Rhinolophus ferrumequinum: one gene and its partners. The protein of the gene in region 3 interacts with the protein of the main gene of each other region in a pairwise test. Links are inferred from orthologs where the notes say so. Each region holds a gene or a part of one and is shown on either strand. Other genes may lie near its edges.

Evidence for each region. The genes of interacting proteins can lie anywhere in the genome.
Region 1: the proteins of VTI1B (region 3) and PTPN5 interact in binary tests that used the Homo sapiens proteins (3 or more experiments, as listed by UniProt). The two-hybrid records come from large-scale screens. The link is inferred for Rhinolophus ferrumequinum from reciprocal best matches to the Homo sapiens genes VTI1B and PTPN5.
Region 2: the proteins of VTI1B (region 3) and LDLRAD1 interact in binary tests that used the Homo sapiens proteins (3 or more experiments, as listed by UniProt). The two-hybrid records come from large-scale screens. The link is inferred for Rhinolophus ferrumequinum from reciprocal best matches to the Homo sapiens genes VTI1B and LDLRAD1.

What each region holds. Positions count from the first base shown.
Region 1 is NC_046294.1:35,297,710-35,305,695, forward strand, and holds the start of PTPN5 (tyrosine-protein phosphatase non-receptor type 5), read left to right. Parts: upstream 1-4,978; 5' UTR 4,979-5,162; intron 5,163-7,986. UniProt on the Homo sapiens protein: May regulate the activity of several effector molecules involved in synaptic plasticity and neuronal cell survival, including MAPKs, Src family kinases and NMDA receptors.
Region 2 is NC_046292.1:38,714,014-38,721,456, reverse strand, and holds the start of LDLRAD1 (low-density lipoprotein receptor class A domain-containing protein 1), read left to right. Parts: upstream 1-4,435; 5' UTR 4,436-7,331; intron 7,332-7,443. Other genes in the region: TMEM59 (transmembrane protein 59), read left to right, coding at 3,627-3,782.
Region 3 is NC_046289.1:29,057,959-29,065,398, forward strand, and holds the start of VTI1B (vesicle transport through interaction with t-SNAREs homolog 1B), read left to right. Parts: upstream 1-4,426; 5' UTR 4,427-4,638; coding exon 4,639-4,753; intron 4,754-7,440. Other genes in the region: RDH11 (retinol dehydrogenase 11), read left to right, coding at 493-595. UniProt on the Homo sapiens protein: V-SNARE that mediates vesicle transport pathways through interactions with t-SNAREs on the target membrane. These interactions are proposed to mediate aspects of the specificity of vesicle trafficking and to promote fusion of the lipid bilayers.

The DNA of each region.
Region 1 (7,986 bases), on a different chromosome or scaffold from region 3:
TGTATGTATAAATAAGTGTATTAATATAGAATGTATCATAGAATACCTTACGTTATATAAAATATATATTGTATATATATATATATATATATATATTATATAGTTTAGAAGTTCTCCAATGTTAGAAGGTAAAATGTGCTATCTTAGAAGAAAAGATAAACGGAGAATGAGACTACTGAAGGGATCAGAAGAAGACAGACTCCAGTATTGATTAAGGAGATTGGTCAGGGTAGGTCTCTTGAGAAAGTGACTCTTGAGCAGAGATTTGAAGGATGTGAGGGCACTAGTTCTATGTAACTGACTGTTTCCCTTTCTTTTTGGCATCCAAAAAGGTCAGAACCAAATTTGAGGCTCAGCCCTCTAGAGGGCCCTGTGGTCTGCAAACTTGTGGTCTTTTGTCCATCAGAGAGGCAGGACAGGACAAGTGGTTAAGGACATAAGTTCCTTATCAAACTGGATCCAAACACTGGCTATACCACTTACTACCTACATGACTTTGGGTATCACATTTAATCTCTCTGAGCCTCAGCTCCCTATACCTCAAAACGGAGATAATAATACCACCTCCTTAACAGGGCTCTTTGAAGGATGAAATGAAATAATGTACATAAATTATTTGCATACAAAAAGAACTCAGTAAAAATCATCTGCAATTACCGTGTTTCCCAGAAAATGAGACCAGGTCTTATACCGTGTTTCCCCAAAAATAAGACCATGTCTCATATTAATTTTTGCTCCAAAAGACGCATTAGGGCGTATTTTCAGGGGATGTCTTATTTTTTCATGTACAACAATCTGTATTTACCCAAATACAGTCATGTCATCTTCCTCTGGAACATCGTCATAACGTATCAAATGCGTCCATCTGGCCGACAATCTTAACTGGGGCTTATTTTCGGGGTAGGTCTTATTTTTGGGGAAACACGGTATTAAGCCTGGTCTTGTCTCTCAAAGTTTATTTACGCTTTCCTCCGTCCTGATTCTCCATCCTTGTTGATATTTTAACATTGTTTTATGGTTTCTGCTCTTGTGGTAAGCTACCTCAAATCCTTTGTGGATTGGGTGGATTATAAATAAGTAAATAAATAAAAATCTGGATAGGGCAACATTTTCACTCAAGCAAAACATTTTATTACCAAGAATGAACTGCAAGTGAGGCCAAAAAACAAAACATATTGACTCTAATCTCTAACAGTCCATCAGAAAATACCAGCAAGACACTCTGGTTACCAGACCATCTTTCTCTTTCACAAACACCTCTTCCTCCATCTATCAAGAGAGAGCAAACGAGTCACACAAAATGACCCAATAAGCCTAAATTCTCCCAACCTCACAACTACTTCATTGTCATGGGTTTCAGAGAACTTTCCTTCTTCCCCATTAGAGAAGAGAAAAGAACTTGGGGTTGCTTTGCATGGTGATGGGCTGAGGGAAGAGTGCTGGCTCAATGCAGAGTCAGACGTGGTTAGAATCTCATTACGGCCATTACCTAGTGAGGGCGGTGGCCATGGGAAAGTCCCTGGACCTCTCTGGGCTCCAGTTTCCTTGTTGGTGATAACAATAGCTCCCTCCTAAGGTGTCTGTGCAGATAAAAGAGAGAATGAAGAGAAGAAACAAGGATAGCTATTGGTAAAGCTCTCAATAATTGTTAGACTTTTCTTCCTTACCTGCACCGCAGGGCAACACTCAATGGACTATGGGAATCAGAAGCTATTCTAAGAGGGTGTACAGGGCAGACATGGGGTGAGGAAACTCGTTTAAGTACATCCCTATATGATAGCAACTCCCTCCAAGAAGTAAGGGGAGGGGCGGACGGTGGCTCAGTTGGTTAAAGCGCAAGCTCTGGACGACGGGGCTGCCAGTTCGATTCCCACATGGGCCAGCGAGCTGTGCCCTCCGCAACTAGAATGAAGTCAATGAGCTGCCGCTCAGCTCCCAGGAGGCCAGATGGCTGTTTGTTGGAGTGCAGGCTCTCAACCACAGGGTTGCCGGTTTGACTCCCGCAAGGGATGGTGGGCTGTGTTCCCTGCAACTGGCAACGGCAACTGGACCTGGAGCTGAGCTGTGCCCTCCACAACTAAGATGGAAAGGACAACAACTTGACTTGGAAAAGTCCCGGAAGTACAGACTGTTCCCCAATAAAGTCCTGTTCCCCTTCCCCAATAAAATCTTTTAAAAAAAAAGAAGTAAGGGGAAAAGATCATTTTTGAGCTCCCCTTACTTTCTAAGTATATCACCACATTTCTTCCTCGCCATAATCCTTTGAGATAAGCGTTGTTATCTACATCTGACAACTAGGGCTGGACTTGAATCCAGAGCACACAGCTAGGAATGTCTGAGAGGCAGCTCTGGTCTTCTGAAATTGACTACAAAGGCCAAGGACCAGGTTCCACCACAGGCCATCAGAGGTACCACCGACAGAAACCTGCAAGTTCCCAGCCCTTCTGCAGTGCCATACCTCTGTGACTCCCTAGCTGAACTGAGTTCAGCAAGAATCTAGGACAGGCTGACCTGGCTGAGGCTCCCTAAGCCCCTCCCCTCACCTCCATCAGCCCCCAGGGCCTGCCCTGTTAAGGCATCCCTGCTTTCTATAAGCTTTGGAATTAGCTGGATCTGAATTTGAAACACACACCCCTCACCTATCAACTGGAGGACCTTAAGTAAGTCACTTATTCTTTCTGGTTCTGCTCCTAAAAACAGGGATATCAAAATGCCTCCCTCCCAAAGCTGCCATGCAGATTAAACATAGCAGTGCATTGAAAACACACTAAACTGTACCTGGCACATAGTATTCACTCATTTATGGTAGCTGCCGCTGTTACCGTGATACCGTCTGGGGAAAATCAGCATTATGCTGAACCACAGAGATGACGGTTGTCAAGGAGAGAGCGCGTGTCCTTGGGCACCAGCTGACGGGTCTACCCACATTGCCACACAGGCCAAGCATCGTGAACTGGTTATCTGGCAGTTATCTACCCTTCCCCTCGCCCCACCGGAGACTAGTTGGGGATAACAAGAAGACTTAGCAGGGCTCTGTGCCCCTTCTATAGACTAACCAAGGCCCAGGCAAGGGCCTCCCTTCACTGTCCTTGATCCACACACATGCACTGCTGGTACCTTCTGTTCTGTGAACTAGGGAGAGAGAAGGGACCCAGCCCTATCCCAGGAATTCACAGAGCACTTGGGGGAAAATACAAAGAACTGCAATTACAGCAAACAGAAAAGAAGGAGGGGCCAAGTGTCCCTGGGAAGATGAGGGAAGGCTCCATAGAGGAAGTATTTTAACTGCACCTTAAAAATTAGGTAAGATGTGGAGGGATGCCATTCCAGACTGAATGTACAGCACAAGCAAAGGCAAGAAATGGGGAAATATGTTTTTTGTGTGTTTTTGTTTTTTTATAGAACAGAGTGGTCTGGTGAGGCTGGGTGAACCGGGTACAGGAGGACTGAGGTGAGAGCTGGCAGTGAAGAGCCAGAGAGTCTCAGGGGCAGGAAACACAAAATAAAGATCATGACTACCATGGAGAAAATGGGGGAAGTGGCCTGCAATTTAAAATAGGATGGTCACAGAAGGCCTCTTTGAAGTGACACATTTAAGAGGTAAAGGAGCAAGCCCTGTGACTATCTGGGGGAAGTTTTCAGGCAGAGAAAATAGCAGGGCAAAGGTCCTCAGGCCACAGAGTGGTTGCCGTGTTGGCGATGCATTAAAAAGGCCTGGAGTGGTAAGAAGTGAGGTTGGAAAGTTAAAAGGGAGCCAGCTCATGAGATACCTTGCAGGCAGTTATAGAGGCTTGAGCTGTCACTTGGATGAAATGGACAGCGATTGTAGGATTTCTAATAAAGGAGCAACGTGATCTGACTTACTTTTTTAAAGGATCGCTCAGACTGCTGTGTAGAGAATCAATTGCAAGGTACCAAGAGTGGAAGCAGGGAGACCGGTAAGGAGGCGATTGCCGAAAACCAGGCGAAAGAGTATGGTGGCTGGAGCCATGGTTGTAGCTGTGTGGTGTGCTCCTCGGTTTCCTCATGTAAAAATGGAGCTTAGGATCCCCGCCCTGTGTACAGCCCAACGCTTAAAAAAAAAAAAAAAAAACATCGGGATGGAATGTCAGGAACCTCTGGCCAACCGAGTGCCAGCCTGGGGAATGTGGGATTGTGGGCTTCCTTACGCGCCCGGGCCCCTGGTGCCCACGAGAAAGGCAAGACAGGTGCGCGCCCCGCGAAGCGTCCGGAGGGCAAGACCTGGCAGAGGAATACCTTGCTCCCCAGAGACTGAAAGGCAAGGGGAGGAAGGAGGTTGCCTATTCCCAGCCCTAGAGCGGGTCCCGGGCACCCGGCACTGTGTGAACCCCGGTATGCAACCACTCGGCTTCTGCAGGTGTGGGCATCGTGCGAGCCTCAGGAGGGTAACGCCACAGCGCCCCTCCACGCAACACACCCGCGCCCCCAGCCCTGACCCCTTTGTCTCACTTTCCCCTACCCCCATTTGTCTGCCTGTTGTCCCACGCCGGGCTCGGCGCGCACGGTGCCGCGGGGATCCCTCTGACTCGCCGTAGCGGCGCAGCCCGGGCCTGGGGCTCCCAGGAGGAGAAAGTCATGAATGAAATGGATGCGGTTCTCCTGTCACCCCGCCCTCCCTGTCCAGGCAACCTCGGCGCGGGGGCGGTGCTTGCGGGGACTCCGAGCAGAGTCGGGGAGGGGGCGCCCGAGATCTGGGTCAGGATTAAGGGTCTGCGATCGGCCTCACTCGGGCCCTGGGCGCTGCCGGAGCTCCCACCTCCCGCCCTCCAGCCCCGCCGGCCCTGCGCAATTCCCGGGGAGCTGCACAAGCCTGCCGGGAGGCGGGGCGGAGCTGGGGCTGGGGGGTGCCGAACCCACCCCGCAGCTGCGCCCGCGACTCCGCAGCTGAAGCGCATTTGGTGGGGCGGTCCCGCGAAGGAGCGCGCACGGAACGCGGGACAGAGCGCTGGGCGGACAGACCCACGGACGGACGCCCCCGCACACGCAGACGCATAGAGCTTAGCGAGGCCCTGTCACACACACACACACACTCGCGCAGACACTCACAGGGACACACGCAGACACACGCACACTCGCTTGCACAACCTCCCGCCGGCCTGCCTGCCTGCCCGCTCGCCGGCGCCCGGAGCCCGCTCTGGCCGGTAAGTGTGGCGTCACCGTCGGCGCCTTTGTGTGGGGAGCTGGGAGGCGGAGGGCACGGGGTCCCTCCCGGGGCGGCCTCGCGACTGAGACCTCCTCCAGCCCCCAGGGCCGCGGAACCCGCTCCCGCCCCCGCCACGCCCCCATAGGGCTTCCGACGCCCCCGGGCTGGGGGAGGGGTCCCCCACACTGCGGGAGGGGGCCGGGCGCTGGGGAGCCGGGAGGGAGTAACAGCCACTCCCCACGGAGCTCGGAAGCGATGCTAGGGAGGGATGGGGTGATGGTCCCGGGTCCGAGCCTCTGCGACCAGGGTTTGTGCGCGCGCGGTTCTTGGCAGCATCGTCTCTCCAGTGTCTGAAGCTCCGGAAGGAGGTTAGAGATCGCCGCTAGCCTGTTGGCTTGTAAACTGCGGCTCTCAGCCTTGGTTCGCTTCTCCTCCCCCGGACCATGTAGCTTAAATCACTCGCTTCCCACCTACCTCCAAAATAAAAGCCCAGCGCATTCCCCTCCTCCAGGATGCCCCTTTTTTCTAGATGAGGCCCAGGTTCCTGCAAAACTTGGAGACTGCCTAGGTCAGAGCCCTAAGGGGTTTCACCTTAACAAGGATCATGTGGCTTAGAGTCAGGATAAGGTGAACCTTTGGAACTCATTTAACCCCCTCATTTTACAGATGGGGAAACTGAGGCCCAGTGATGCGGTTTGACCAAGGTCACCGGAGAATTAGTAGCAAAGCCTGCATTAGAATCTGGGGTCCCCGGCTTTCATACTCATTCCGCACCCCTACACAATTTTATCCTGCTCCCATTGAAGCCTCAGAACCCCAGAATTCATCTGAGTGTACCTTGAAAGTCTTTGTAATTCCAGCCCCGCCCCCACTCGGAGCAGCAGGTGCCATTCATTTACTACCATCCTTACTGTAAAAAAAAAAAAAGGGGGGGGTTAGCCTTTCATTTGCCTCTTTCCGCCTCAGAGGAGAGCTCTCTTCTTATGCAAGTGCTCCAGGTTTGGGGTTTAGTTTTAGAGAATGAATCAGTCCTGGACAGATCAGATTCCAAGGTGTACACCCTGGTTCTCCCAGGAGTCATTGGGCCTGTGTCCTCAATTGGACCAGGTGATGTGGCATTCAAGGAGTCATCCCCTTCCCCTACTTTGACCTGCCTGACTGCATGCTTTCGCCGTCACTCTTCCCTCCTTTGTAAAGGCCTAGGTCTTCTAATCCTACGAGGCCCCTTTCATCATCCCTCCGTGGATGGAAGTCCTCAAGTCCTTCATGTCAGGTTACCTCTTCCTCCTTGATGTTTGTTGAGTGTGGTTGTTGGTGTTGCTGACAAAGCTACTGGGGAAGCTTGAGTTACAGCCTTATCAGGCTCGGGTGACAGCTCAGGGCAAGGCTCCCTCAAGGGCACAGAGAGGGTGCCCTGAGAGGTATGTTGAAGGAGAGCAAGCTGGGTGGTGTATGGACAAAGCCAATTACCTTTGAGGAGACTCCATTGGATGGGATAGTTGGCAAGGAGGGCACGGTTCAGTCTCTAGGGGCCTCTTGCCTCAGGAGCTTCCTTCTTGGGTGGGGTGAGCAGTGTGGCATGAAGCAGAGCCAGGGTGACCACCTGACTAACTCCAGGAGCCACAATTCATATTGTAGTCCGCCTAAATGGCATTGTGCCCCAGAAGCACCATTTGTGTAGACTTCATAATGAGTATTGGCCCCTTTTTGCAACGCAGTGGCTCCCACCCTGAGAGTGAAGAGATCTGGGTTCCAGGCCCATTTCCTCACGGGCTGGACAGTTTCATTAAACGCTCATAACCTCTTGGGTCTCAGTTTCTCCATCCCAAAAATAAGATCATCATTTTGAAGAGTTTCAGGATATCTTGCATGTCTGCATTGTTGGGGGTGGGAAGGGGAGCACTTATTTTATAACTGCTGTGGGCCTGGTTTTCTTCTATGACTCTGTGAAGAAATGAGATGAGATAATTTATGAAGGGTACTTAGCACAGTGCCTGGGGCCTAGAAAAAGCTCAGGAATAAGTAACTATAATACCATTAGGGCTCCAGCTTTATGGCTATACCCTTCACTTCTTCCCTTTTTCAGATTGCCCAAGGAATGGGATTTTTAGGGCCTCAAAGTCCCTCTCCCTCAAAATCCCTCCCCTCCGACCTGTTCCTGGATTTGAGGCTCAGCCAGCATAAGACATCCAGGCAAACTGCCTGGGAGAAGTCGCACTTTTGTTTTATCAGTTATTTCACACCTAAGTGTGATTCAATTTATTAATTTATATTGTGCCAAAGCATTTCTTACACTCTGTAACTTATACTTAATCCTCATAACACACCCATGATATCAATAGTGTTATTGTTGCCATTTTATAGATGGGGAAGTTAAGATTCAGAGTTTAACTTATCTACGGGGGTGTCCTGTAAAAGTCTCAGAGCCAGAGAGTTGTACCTCCAGCTCAGATCATCTGACTCTAGATTATGAACTCTTTGTTCTATGTCACAGTGCCTGTCCTTTTCCAAGATCTGTCCTAAAAGAAAGGTAGATAACCCCTTGGAAAGAGTGGAGAAGAAAGAGGGTTTTATTCTTCTGGAAGATTAGGAATGGCTTCTTGGAGAAGCTAGGTAGCATTTGAGCTGGGTCTAAATGATTTGTTCAATGGAAGAAAGGAGGGGAAATATTGCAAGTAGTGGAAACAGTATAAGTGCTTCTAGGGCACGTGTAGAAACAAGAAAGCAGTTCGTTCCAACTGGTGCAAAAGGGATGAAAGAGGAGCAGTGAGAAGCAAGGCTGAGTAGGAGGGTGGAAGTAGTTGCTGGGGGCATTGAGTGCC
Region 2 (7,443 bases), on a different chromosome or scaffold from region 3:
GGGGATCTTTCCCTCCTTTCCAGGTGACTCTTGATCTTTCTTTTCCTTTTCGATGTTGTCTCTGTAGTAATAAATTTTGATTGTATAGCTTTAATTCTGTGAGAAATTCTCTCCCACTTTTCCCACTTCCGCCTCCTAGATCCTAGTGACCATAAAGCCTAAGGCATTTAGACCCACGTGGAGACCTGGTGATGGCTGTTACATTCTCTCCAACTATCTGCCTTCTGAATGTTATTTTCTTGCCCCTCTTTGAACTCTTCTTCCTAGCTTTAACAATTAAAGTATGGCTGCACCCTCAAAGAGTCTAGACTTTTCTGAGGAGACATATTTTCTAGAAAAGTGTGTGGAAATAGCTATTTAGATTCACTGCTTTTAGGCTTTACTTTGTATGTGAAACCACACTTCCGCTAGGTATTAAGGTTGTTTCAACTATATTTTTATTATAAAAATACTGTATACTTAGTGTGGAAATTTGTAAAGTACATATAAAGAAGCAGGAAAAAAAAATCATCCTTTCATCCAGAAATATTGTTGTGTTGCCATTTTAGTGGATTTCTTTCAATATAAACAATTTTTGTTTTTGTTTTTGTTTAAAAATACTGCAGTGTAAATATTTTCCCCCTCTGTTTACTATAAAAATCATTGAGAACTTAGCGTTAGAAATGTTATTCAATTTTTTTTTTGGCCAAAAGCCATTTATTTTAAACTTTACTTTCAGAAAGTCTTTTCATTGATTTTATTGGAGCATAAGTTATTGCTGACCCCTCTCCATAGTAAGACTCCATTTTAAGTCCTACGAGAATAATCCATCTATGACCAATGTTATTTATATTGTGTTTATTATTTATATATGTTTCTGTATGTTTGTAGGAAATCATAAGCCTGTTGAGAGAATGTGTGTCTTTAGTACAGCCTTGGTTCTTGGAGCTTAAACATGAAATATAAAAAGTTTCCTTTTCAGTCACTGAAACAAAGCTTAAAATGGTGGTGATAAAGGTCAGGAATGTGGTCTTAGGAATGTATAAGCAGCTTTATTTTTCTTATTTAGGAAAGCTCTGAAATAATTTATCTTTAGCCTGCTTTGCATGTAGTAGTTAGGTATTTATTATATATCATTTATTTGTAATAGCCATTAAGAGTTAGCAAAGAATTTCATTTTCTTGGTTGATCTTAAAGCGGTGTTATTTGATTGACTTGATGTATAAAGATTCTGATCCTCTTTACTTTTTTCCTCTGTTCTGTCACATTTATGATGTCATTTTTTAAAATTAATGGGATGGCAGTTTTTCTTGTTGAGCTATCTATTTAAGATAATGAAGAGTTGTCTGTCATTCATAGTGGTCCTTGACAGGCAGGCCAATCTTGGCATACCAGAATGGGGTTTGGCAGTATTGGGTATTCCTTCCTAGAGATCAGGCAGCCTCAGAAATTCGCTATAGCAACAGATGTTGATATAGATGCTGCCTTATTATTATATCTTTATATGTGTGCTTCCTTTTCTCTATTTGTCAAGACCATGATCATCTGATTTTGTGTGGTCAGTTAAGAAGAGCTTTAAAGACTCCTAATAACATTCGTGTTAGTAAATCACACACATTTATGGATAACTTATTATGTGCCAGGCCCTGTTCAAGGGATTAAAGATACAATGAAGAATAAGATCAAGACAGAAGAAAGTTAAATGTTAAAGGTTTCTGTGACTCAGGAAGTAGGGTGAAATATGTCTTAAAGTATAATAACCAGTATTTTCTTTGTCAAAAAACCAAGACTAAGAACCTTGTTTTTCTACAAGATCCTTGTAGAAGCTTTAAGTCTTATAAAAAAAGTCAATTAGAAAACAATGTGAGTGCTACAGCTTTTTAATCCAAATTCTGTTAAGAAACTGAGTTTTAGAAAAGATTTAAGTAACTTATCCAAGATTGTGTAATGGTTATTGACAGAGTCCAGGCCTAAAGCCCAAATATGTATTTACTAATTGAATTTATTTTTCTAACTTTTAGAAGTAATACATGTAACATAAGTTAAATTTTTCTCTTCAGATAAATCAGTCATTTTTATAAAACTTCCAAATAGTTACCATTTTTAAATTTTATCTTCTATTTTTTTTTGTTTTATCAACTTTAAATATTATCTAATGTCTTCCTATTGAAGGATGAGGAATTTAGTTCTTTACGTTATCTCCCACCTCACCTCCCATCTCTTCACTTTCTTCCATGTTGATGTTTGAAATCATTCAAACAGTTCCTGGTTGCTGTGTCAAGGTCTTTAAATGTTGTTAGGTAGAGTTTTGAAAGTTTTTCTTTCACAATGACTCAGAGCAAATTATCACATGTTAATTCTGGGTTTTAAGGAGGCCACATATATCAGATCCATGTCCAATCCATCAACTGCTGAATTTTGTCTGGAAGTTATTCTCTTACTGCAAAAGTATAAGGTACTGGGCCATCTTCTTATTATAGGGTAGCAATTGCCTTGAAAGCGTAGGCAGCAGACCATATCTGAAACATGTTTAAGTAAGCAACCATCACACCAGTCACTTTTAGAACATTTTTATCACCCCCAAAAGAAAACTCACACTTGTTAGTGTCACTCCTCATTTCCTCCCAAGCATCACCACCACCACCACCACCACCACCATCACCACTCCTAGCCATAGACAACCACTATGTGGTCCCTTGTGACTGGCTTCTTTCACTTAGCATAATATTTTCAAGGTTCATCCATGTTGTAGTATGTATCAATGTTGATAAGTACTTAAACTCTTTATTCAGCGTCTTTTAAATGCACCTTTCCAACATTAAGTACTTCTGTGTGGTTCTTGCTGTATAATCTAGTCACTTGCCCTATCAGTAACGTCAGAACTTCAATTTTTAACTCATGATTCTGAGATTTGTTGCCAAGGAAGTGAGTTAACAAAATCTATCCCATTTCTTAGTAAAAACTTTTCACTTCACTTTTTTACTTTTAGGAGACAGACCTACATCTAAATAAAATACTTTCCAAAGATATTAGACGTGACCATTGTACTCCAGTGAATTTTATGACATTTGCAATGACTGTTTTATGCTTTCTTTGATTTGTTTTACTATCTTCTTGGATATAATGGTAATAATTTGAGGAGCTTTTATATGTTTATGAAGATCTTTCTATCAGTGTTAAAATGTTTCATGTATATTCTTTGTTCTACTCATAGCCTTTTAAAATAGCACGTATTTTCCAAATGTATTAAGTTAAAACATTTAGGAGGAGAGAAACTAAATCAAATCATTTGACAACTTGTTTGGAGAGTTAAGAGTTAAAGGAATTAATCACTTAAGATATCAAACATCTAGAATGAGAGCTCTTGGTGTGGCCACACTAACTTCATTTAAATCTGAGCAATTTTTTCTTGATACTCAGTTGTTATACTTCTAAATATTTTAAGTTGGGACATGTAGAAAAAACTCTTTTGGCCATCCTTGGCAGCTGAATCTCATATTTGTAACACTTTGAGTAAAGGCATTCTTCATTCTTGAGAATGTCTATAGCAATCTTTTTTTTATTTTTACCAAAAAAAAAAAAATTACTTGAAATCTTAGAGAGATTAATTATCCAAATTGCTAATGTGTATTGATTTTATTTTGCAGAAGCTGAGTATCTATGGTGACTTGGAATTTGTGAACGAACAAAAGCTAAACAGATACCCAGCTTCTTCTCTTGTGGTTGTTAGATCTAAAGCTGAAGATCACGAAGAAGCAGGGCCTCTACCTACAAAAGTGAATCTTGCCCATTCAGAAATTTAAGGGTTTTTTTGTTTGTTTGTTTGTTTTTTTTAAGAAAAATGTAATAGACATCTAAATTTCCATTCCTCATAGAGCTTTTAAAAATGGTTTCATTGGATATAGGGCTTAACAATCACTATCAAAGGCAAATAAAGTTACCCAAATCTGTAAAGACTGTATTTGCTGTAACTTTCCCTGTAACTTTTTCCTAGTAATTTAAGAGGTGAATATTTGGAGTTGTATTTTTATTTTAATATCTGTAGCTACTTTAATTATTATTTGCATTGTTTTTGTTTATTTTCTTTCTTAGCCAAATTCTATGAGCTGATCATTGTTCTTCCCCACCTCTCGCCACGATGCCATCAATCACCTTAGGTAATAAGCTGAATGCTCAGTAGACTATGATGCTTCTGCTCAGAAATAGCCCACAGCCTGTAACTTGAAATTTAGCAGGAAATGCCCTTTGATGACACTACATTTTCAGTTGGATTGAACTGAAGTTATTAAAATTTTATTTGAATAATTACGTGGAAATTGAGTTTAATAGACTCCTGATTTTCCAGTCTTTCCTCTCACCCCTAGCCAACCCAGACAAAAATTCCAATCTTTCTTCTTACCCCTAGCCAAACTCTAGAAATTCTATTTCTATCTATTGCTATATAATATGATCAGGGAACAAATTGAAGCAAAAATGATCCTCTCAGAAGTGCATTTTATGTTATTTGCACAGCCCGTAGACTTTTGTTGGATAAGTCTTTCCAAAGAACCTTTTCTGTTAGAAAGTATATCAAGTATAAGTTTAAGATATTTTCAGAGAAAACTTCATTTTGACAGTAAGAATTAGATTCTTGTGATGCAGAATTAAGTATAGATTTCACTTGGCAAAAGCTATTATTATCATTCCTTTATAATAATACAGATTTAAAGCCAAGAGTGATATCAGGTAACACAGTATACCAGAGTCTTAACATGATTCGGTGTCTTTATACCATAAAATGTTAAATAACTTGGCAAACCAATATCCTCACCAACGGGCATTGCTGACAACTGCAGTAGCACTTTCTGACTAAAGAGTGAGTCACACACTTACCTTACAGACTAGTCATAAGCTTTCTCTGAGTCCAAAAAAAATACAATTAACAAGACCTTGTTCACAAAACATAGGTTTCACGTTTTAAAATAGTTTGTCTAGATTCGGAAGCTAAAGGGTTAGAAAGTATGTGAACACATCCAGATGCAGAAGAGAGGAGGAATTACTAGGCTGACATCAAGCAGTCAATGTCTTATTTTTTGTGAGAAAACAGTTACAAAACATGAAGAACGGATTGGAGTTCACCTTTAAAATAAAGCCCAATTGTCTTATTCCCTACCCATGGTACACACTTAAGTTCCTTAATATCAGGCACAGGTTTAACTGAAGCAAACCAAGGGGGAAATAAAACGTGCAGATTTATAGGAGTCAGCCCACTGTTAGGAAGGGCCTCCCTTATAAAAACAAAAAGAATATCTAGATAAGAAGGAGCAACTGGATGATTGTCCTGCATTCTCTCACCTTCCCTTGGTTTTGTTTCCGTTTGCTTTCCAAATAAAGTTCCCTCTGACAATATTGATTCAAGTGCAGGTAAACTTACCACTCTTGTTTATGAGACAATTCCTGTATGTGGAAATACCTCATCATTCCTTGTATTTAGTAGGCACTCAGATACTCGTGTCCTGCCTTCATTTTATTTCACCATGATTAAAAGAGACTGACATTAAAAAAAAAAGTTCTACTTTTAAAAAAATTATATCCCCCCAAAAATATATGCATGTGTACACACACACACACACACACACACACACACCCATAAAAAGTGTTTGACTTGAAAATTCTAACGAAGGCAACCAAACCGAGCCTCTAGGCCCCTTCTCCTAAAGGAACAGTTTAGCCCTTCTTTGGTGGGTCCAGCTTCATTTGTTTCCATGAGACAGGTACCACCTTCTTTCCTCCTACACAAAAAGCATCTTCTCGAGAAGATGCTTTGTCTTGGTCCTAGGGAAGTTCTGAAGCCCCTTGAGTCTCTGGTTCAAACCTCACAGATTCCTAAGGTCCTTGGTTCAGGTCCGTAGTCTAAGAGACATACTGATTCGGGCAATTATGAAAATAGTCACCATAATGATCTAGGCCCAAGATTCTGTCTTTCACAAAACTTCATGGATACCTTTTATTTATGATTGTTTTTTGGTAAATAAAAAATTGCCAAATCGTCTGGTCCATCACTCTTGTCTCAGAAATTCCTATGATGTATCATCAGCCCAGCTGATCAGCACGTGAAGCCTAGTGTTTTTACTCAGCTGATATTCTAGCCAAAAGCAAACAACTTTATCCCTGTTGTTCATCTGGCTTTATCATAGATAAATAAATGTGCCATTTCTATTATAATTTTTGTGGTCTCTTAAGTATCTTAGGGCCACACGTTGGGAATCATTGATCTAGAGGTTCGTTCTCAACTAAGTCCCCATCACTGCCACCCCATGGCAGTGATTTTGCCCAGATATCCTATTATAGATCTATAGTTCAACCATTCAGCAACCACTTGAGAGCCTGAGTGCCAGGCCCTGTGCTAGATGATAGGACTGCAACAACAAACAAGACCCAGGGCCTGACTCGAGTTGCTCAAAGTCTAAAAGAAGGAAACATTATTATTAATGTAATTATTGTGACCAGATAAGCAGAGTACTACGGAAGTACATAGGAGGGCCCTAACTTCTAGGAGGAAAAGGAAAATCCAAACAAAATACAGGGAGTAGTATTCCAGGCGTGGGCAGTATGCTCAAAGACCTAGAGACAAGAGGGTGGGAAACTACAAATTATTTAGCAGGCTAAGATACAGCATACAAAGCATAGCAATAGATGGGACCAGATAATAAAAGACTTGACTAAACTTGGATTCGATCCTGAGCATGATGGAAAGCCATAGAAAGGCCTTAAGCAAGAGAGTTGCAGAGTTTTAGAACAACTCTCAACAAGGATGTGGAGATAGACCAGAGGGGCAGGCCCAGAGGCCATCAATATCTTAGCTCTATGGTAACCGCTGGGATCTATTAAGTTACGTACCTACCCAGCCACACTGAAATGGGAAATTTCGTTTCCTTCCCAGACTTCTCTTTTTTAAAATGCCCAATATTCCTATTTTCTTTCATTTTACCTCATGTATATTTTTGAACTCTTCTCTATAAGGCTCTCTGTACCCTATATTTTGTTTGGATGGTAAGCCTAGGACTAGCCTCTGAGACCTGGTCACAGTCTGACTGTTGCCAAAAAAACTGGGAAGGCTTTTCCATGGAGCCCAAGCTTCTTACCAGACTTCATGTTGGGCAAAATTTTTAAACTATAATGCTATGTCAACTTACCATCCTAAAGCTCTAAGTTTGCCAACCCAATTTCTCCAACTTGGTGTGCTCTTGAGCCCCTCCCACCAGGTTTCCAGTGGCTAAACATTTCATGTTTGTATTTGAGCATCATCAGGATGAGGTACCTTATTCGTCTTTCCTTGACCACTTATTCTGGACTGGAGTCTGCAGATGGAGGTATGTACCGTGATACAGATAAAAAAAACTGAGATAGTGGAAAACGGCAGTCTTCTGTGGGAAGCTAGAGCATACAGTTAAGTGTGGATTTTTCAACTCCTTCAAGTAATTA
Region 3 (7,440 bases):
TTTTCGAGTTTAAGGACAGTTATAACTGCAGGAAGACCAGAAATAAGTGTGTTGGGTTTTTTTTTTTGTTTGTTTTTTTCCACTCCAAACATTTGTGACCAATGTAAATAGCAGGATCTCAGTTCCATGACACTGTACAAAGCCTGAAGAAAGGACCTCAGAGATTTGTTTGAACAAGATGGACATATACAGGTGTCAGGCAGGCACTGATATCATAGTTAAATACTATATACATACAAAGGGGGATATAAAGACTAAATGATATGCATTTATATCAAACAAAGCATTCTGATCAGAGGTGGTCTAGTGAGATCTAAAATGTAATTACATTTTCTCTGGGGTAAAGATTGGAGAATGAAGAGATTAACGCTGGATTTGTGAAGAGCCTAAAGGACGTTATCCCTGGGTCATTTTTCTGTCATATTCGTTATCCCAGATGGAGAATGGACTCCATTCTTAACCCAGTTCTTTAAACCCCTCTTTCCCTTCCAGTGACTGCGATGTGGCCTGGGTCTCTGCGCAGGGTCGTAATGAGACGATAGCAAGGCGGCTATGGGATGTCAGCTGTGACCTGCTGGGCATCCCGATGGATTGACGGGTGGTGGCAGTTGGACCACTCAGTGCACCCTGCCAAAATGATTCTCCTTCAGGATGGCCAAAACCTTGAGCACAAATGGAACAAACCTTCCAGCCTTACCAGCATGATGTCCAGTAAAATCCAGGGTACACTGCCAGATTCACCGAGACACCTTGCACTTGTCCAGAATCACTTTGGTTCTGTTATTACCAGAGTTACTAGAGATATCATAGGATAAGTAGACCTTCATATGACCTGCAAATTCGTATTTTCCTTCTGAAACCTACTACCTAGGAGAACCAAAACTTTAGCAGGGTTGATTTGAGGCAGTCTGGACTAGTTTCTACCCTCTGTGTTCACAATGAAGTTCCAACCAACCAACTGACCAACCTTCACCTGAAGAAGACCGTGATGCAGCTTCCGCTGAACTCCAGGAGTCACAGTGGCTTTGCTCAAGAGCAGGGCTTGTCCCTCACCTCTTAAGAAAACCATCATGGCACCAACATCTGAATTCTTTCAAGAAATTTAGCTGAATCTGGACTGTGGCACAGCTTTCTCTCTGACAACCTAAATCCACTGCTAAGACATTTTCCCATGCCTTGACCATGAAAGAACTTTTCTAAACAGTCTGTGGAGTTTGTAGGATGGCAGAAATTCGGAGGAAGGCAGAAATAAAAATCAAGTTTAAACTGTCATTTTCCTACTGTTTCTCTGACCAGCAAGGGGATAGTGAAAGGAGCAGTTTGAGAAAGGAGGCTTCCTGACTTCAGTTACTGACCCCAGATCCACGGAGGCCTCCCTTTTTGCCTGAGATTCTCTTAAACCAGAAAAAGGGGAAAGGCTATTTGGTGATTGTTACCGAGTATATGTATTCTTGTGTATTTATGCAGTTGGGAGTATTTTCACAAAATTCAAAATAGCCACAAAGGAACAATCTTAAACTGGACCCTGGTGCAGGTAAATGATAAGAGTTGGAGCAAACCAGTGTCATCCAGTCTCTGATACAGATGGGTAGAGCTGCAAGCAGAAGCAGACTCTGTATGTTGATACCTACCCACTAAGAAGCACATGGGTAGCAGAAAAGAGGATAAGCCTGGAACATAATGCATGCAATGAAGGGACTACTTAAGGATTAAAAAAAACAAACTAACAAAAAAAACAACTAAAGATGGTAATATCCAGCTAAAGAAGAATTAAGGGTGAGCAGAGCACCTTAGTTACAAAGACTGCTAAGGCACTATCTTAACAAGCACCAGTTAACTAATATGGCAGGAAAAAAACAAACAAAAAAAAAAACACCTCAATTCGTTATTTAACAAAATTATCTTAAGGACTGATATTGGCAGTTACAGTCAATTTAATAATCTTTCAAGGCGTTTCCTTACATTATCTTGACAAGATTAAAATGTCTATTTGCTTAAAAAAAAAAACCTACATTTTATTTGGAGAGCTTTTACAAAAGTAATGCTGCCAAAGGAAGTCTAAGGAATTGGTAATGTTTCTATCACTTGTTTAGAGTATGTTATTTGTGATTTTCTTGAACTGACAATTATATATTTACTCAGTGGAGAAAAGAGTTATAGGACCCCAGTCTTCTCATATTTGTAAGTTAATAATCTTTTGTTGAACTTGTTTTGATCATTAAACTATATATTCAGAAACAGTCATTTTATGGAAAAATTGGAAAACTTCTGATAATAGTACAGTAGAATAACTGAATTAATATTTTACTTAATTTATATTGACCTGTCAATGACAAAGAAAATATTTTGATTGTTTATCATGTTTTTATTTTCCAGAATAAAAACTAAGAATTAAAGGAAAGTTTAGAGTCAACAGAAACAATTAAAGGAAAGTTTAATTATAGTCAAAAGAAGAAAACACTTCATTATTATGGTTATGCAATCATTTCTCATTCTAAGGATAATTTGTCCCAGATCATTTCTCATTCTATGGATAATATGTCCTAGAATCTAGCCACAGTACACTTGACTGAAATGCCATTCACTCAGTTGTGTGATGATTTGATTATTCATTCACCTTTTTTTTTTTTTAATTTATTGGGGTGACAATTGTTAGTGAAATTACATAGATTTCAGGTGTACAATTCTGTATTACATCATCTATAAATCCCATTGTGTGTTCACCACCCAGAGTCAGTTCTCCTTCCATCACCATATATTTGATCCCCCTTACCCTCATCTCCCACCCCCCACCCCCCTTACCCTCTGGTAACCACTAAACTATTGTGTCTATGAATTTTTGTTTCTCATTTGTTTGTCTTGTTCTTTTGTTGTTTATTCACCTATTTTCTACTTTTATGATGCTGTTCAAAGATCATTCTTTTTTCCCCCCTTCTTCCGCCTCCCCTCCCACTCTGGTTTAAGCTGTTATTTTTCAGTCTAGTTGTGTAGGACACAGTTCCTGGCCCATGCTGGTATTTATAGCCTTGCGCTCCTCTGGGCGGAAGCAGTTGGTCACCGGTTGTTAGTTGGCCGCTCACAGCAGCAGGCGGCAGTATGGGGCCTGGGAGGCACCCCATTGCTCGCGACAACCTCCAGCTGCTCACCTTAGCCCAGCTCCAGGGAGAGCTGCTGTTCACAATCTTAGCTGTAGAGGGCGCAGCTCCGGTAGGAATTCAACCTGGCCCCCTTAGCGTTAGGAGCTCCGCGCTCCAATCACCTGAGCCACCTGGCAGGCCCCTCAAAGGTCATTCTTTCGATCCCAGGGCATTTATCTCCTTTTTGTACCTGCTCCTGTTATAACATGCTATGGGACTTCTCAGTACACTGCCACTAACACTCAGACTTTGCTATCTCTCTATGCTTAATAGATATAAGGAGCTCAACAAAAGTTTGTTCCATCAATGGTCAGTGAACTCAATAAAAATAAGGGTCGGGTCCAGGAAACATAAATCACCAGATCTTTCCTCCTGAACAGTCATATATCTCTTAATATGAGTGGGCAGTTTAAAGTATAGGGCTGCCAAGCAAACATTTCAGAACGGGGTCCTTGGGCAAATCATGAAATCAGTAAAAATAGGAATTCCCTTTCACTGAATCATGAAAACCATGGAACGCAGGAAAGGACATTGTTAATACATCACACTTAGTGGGAAGGAGACTGGAAGCCGCGTCGCCTTGCCTACCACATTATAAATTACCCAAGGGCAGAGTGAATCTTTCATTCACCAACATATGCCAGACCCCTGCACAGTGATTACGCTTAACGTTAAACACCTGCTGAGCGAAGGATTGCACGAAGGCCAGCCCAGCTGCTAGAGGCTGAGTCTGTTTTGGGGATCACACCACCGGGGGACGAGTTCTGAAAGAATGTGACCCTGGTCACTTGACCTCCCCAGAAAAAGTGCTTTACCTAACGCTCGAGGAGAAGCAGGGACCGGGCCCCTCTACCTTTCGAGGCTGAAAGCCAACAGGTCGTGAACTAAGGAAGTTAGGGTGGCCAAACAGTGCGATTAGAATGAAGATGATGTTCGGGCGCATACTGATACCAAACCACTGCGTGTCAGCTTAACCCTTCGCTGCTACGGCGCTGGAGGAACCACCGACCCCCGCAAAGCTTGACCTCTGAGTCGGAGCGCTTTCCCCCGCCGAACTACAGCCCCCGGCATGCACTGCAGCGTAAGCCCGATGCCGGAAGCCAGGGCCCTAAAAAGAGGCGGCCGCGCTGCCGGTGCCACGGATCCCCACAGTCCTTTCCTCTGTGGCACACTCCCCTGCCATGGGATTGGTATTTCCGGGACTGCGGGACTGTCGCTCACTGCGGTGCGCCGTCGGTCCCACAGGAGTCGCCCCAGCAGCTCAGTCCTGTAGATTTTCCATCAGGCTTTCGCGCCCGGCGCTCCCTCAGTGACAGATGAAGGGGTGGGCGTTCCGGCTCTGGAGGACCCCGCCGCAGCCCCGGAAGCGCCTGGTCCAAGGTGGCGGTGGTGGTGGCTGTGGTTGCGGAGATGCCTGCGGGGCTAGGTGGCTGGCCGCCGGGTTAGGAGCGGGTCCCGGACCCAGGATCTCCGCGGCCGCTGCTGGAGCGCGGCCTGCGCCATGGCGACCTCCGCCGCCTCCTCCGAGCATTTCGAGAAATTACATGAGATCTTCCGCAGCCTCCATGAAGACTTACGAGCGGTGCCGGAGCGGCTCCTGGGGACTGCAGGGACAGGTGAGGCGGGGCGGGCCGAGCCGTGGGAAACTCGGCCCCGCGCGTTCAGGGAGGAAAAACTCCCACTCTTCTTCCAGACCTGGGTCCTCTTCTTTCCGCTCCTTATCTTCAAACACGCCCCCTAAAGTGGGCTGGGTCCCGGCGCCCAGCATCTCCCTGTTGCCTCTTAGGGTGCTCAGGGATGGACCTTGGAGTGTCGTTTCCTTGGAATTCTTGATCCTCCTATAGCCTGCAAAATTTTCTCGTCTTATTTTCACTTTGGCATGAAGAGCATAGGAGACTTTAAATCTGCGGTCCTGTATTTCAGTAAAAGTGTTTGCTTTTGTAGCTCTCTGTGTTTTGTTTTATGCATTTAGAAGATTATTCTCAGAAGAGGTCCATAGTTTTCACCAGACTGACAAAGGATCCGTAGCACTAAAAGGGTTAAGAACCCAAAGGAATCATAACTTTGGGGGTTGGTAAATATCAGTTTTGAGGAATTGGTCTTTAAAATCAGGATTGTAGTGTTTAGGTGTGGTCCTCTTACGTTCTGCTTAGACTGTTTCCTGCCCCTTGATTTCAAAATTCAGGTTGCTGCAGGGTTTGTCTGGAGTAGCTAGAGTCGTCCAGTTAAATCACGGGTGTCCAAACTTTTTTCAACGTTTTTCACCAAGGGCCATATGCAGTAAAATACACAAACAGCTGGGCCACTCACTGGAGGTGAAGTACGTATTGCCTCACCTGGTTTATTTAAGTAAACTAAATATATTTTTGGAATTTGCTGCGGGCCAATTAACAATGGATTGATTGCAGGCCGCAGTTGGCCCGCGGGCCGCAGTTTGGACACCCCTGAGTTAAATCCATAGGAAGCATACATAGTTCTTTGCCTCAGAACGAACTAGATCTTGATGGCAAGGCAGATAAGACTTTGTTTCATTGTTTTCATTTAAGGGTCAGAGCTTGAGTATTAGCTCTGTGAGTTACCCAAGGTCCTAGGACTTGAATGACTGGAAAATGAAATAGATAACGTTTTTTTAACGTGTATTTATTGGGAGAGGTTACTCTGTACCAGGCACTGCCCTACATGTTGTTCATACTGCAGATTACTTTTCAAAATATTGAAAAGACTTACAAATCCCCTTTTTAGTGGATTGATGATAATATATAAATATTAAGAGGCCGTGTTAATGACAACACAGGCATATCTCGTTTCATTGCACTTTACTGTGCTTCACAGATGTTGCGTTTTTTTGCAAACTGAAGGCAAGACCCTCCACCTGCAAAAAGATTATGACTCACTTTATTGTGATACTCTCTTTGTTGCGGTGGTCTGGAACCCAATCCGCAGTATCTCCATGGTACGCCTGTACAGGAAAATAAAGCAGGGCAAAGGAATAGAGGGAGGGGGCGTTCTAATTTTAAATAGGGTAGCCCTGAAAGGCCTCTTTGAAAAGATGTCATTTGAGCCGACTTGAATGAAGTAAGGGAGTAAACCATGCAAAAATCTGGGAGAAGTGAGTGTCAACAGGACGGAATAGCTCTTACAAAGCTCCTTAAGCAAAAATGAGCTTGGTATGTTCTAGGAAGAGCAAGAAGGCCAGTGTGTTTGAGGTGGAATGAGCAAAGGAGATAGTGCTAGTAGATGAGGCTGGAAAGAGGTAGGCAGGCCTGATCACGTGGGGCCTTGTAGACCATGGTGAAAGATTACATCTTTTTCGGAATGAGATGGGATGCAGTTAAAAGGTATGGAGCAGGAGAGTGATGCGATCTGATTTACATGGTTGAAAAATACTGTGTTTTCAACTTGGTGCTGAATTAAATTTTGCAATATCCATTTCTGCAAGGCTAAATGATGCATTCTGTTTGAAAAATAGAACACTGAGTTAGTTATATTCACCTGTGTCATCTACCTAGCCTTTTCTCATTTCTGCAAAGAGGACAATCAAAACGGTGTGAATTTTTACCCAAGCACAAAATACTCTAACACAAATTGATGGTAACAGACTTAGTTGTTCAGTGGGTAAGTAAATACAATGTACACATATCCCCAGGTTGTAGTAAGAATTTCAGCAACTTTCAATCTCCTTATTCATTACCTGTTCACACTGTTCAATAAATATTAAGCAAACACACTGGGCCTCACTTCTGAATCCTTTTTTCTAATTCTAGGACTACTTCATAGCTTTCCAGAGCTTTAATTTCCATCACGAATTATTAGCCACTGAATAATACCCATAACACAGTCCTTGCATTTAGCTTATGCATTGTAATTAAATTCAGTCATTTTTCAATAAACATTGAGAATTACTATGTGTCATTCACTCTCCTCGGCCCTAAGGAGGTCCGAGAGAGAGTTCTTGCCTTAAATAGGAGCAAATTTACAACAAAGTGTGTGGTGAGCCTCAAAATAAGAGACCTGAAAAAAAGGCTAACAACTTGGGTGTGGGGAGCGAGAGGGAAGCTTTGCGGAAAGGAGAACTTCGAACTGAGTGTAAGTGGCTGAATGGGAGTGTGCCCGACAAAGAGGAAATGGGAAGAGGCAACAAAAGAATAAAATATTGACTACTCATAACTGTGACTGGAGCTTAGGATATGTGGGAGAGTGGTCGTAGATGAGGAAAGTGAGACACAGCCAGATCTTGAAGGGACCTAAGTGTCACATTAAGACATGTATACTCGAGATGGAGAATCAGTTAAGGACTTTAAGT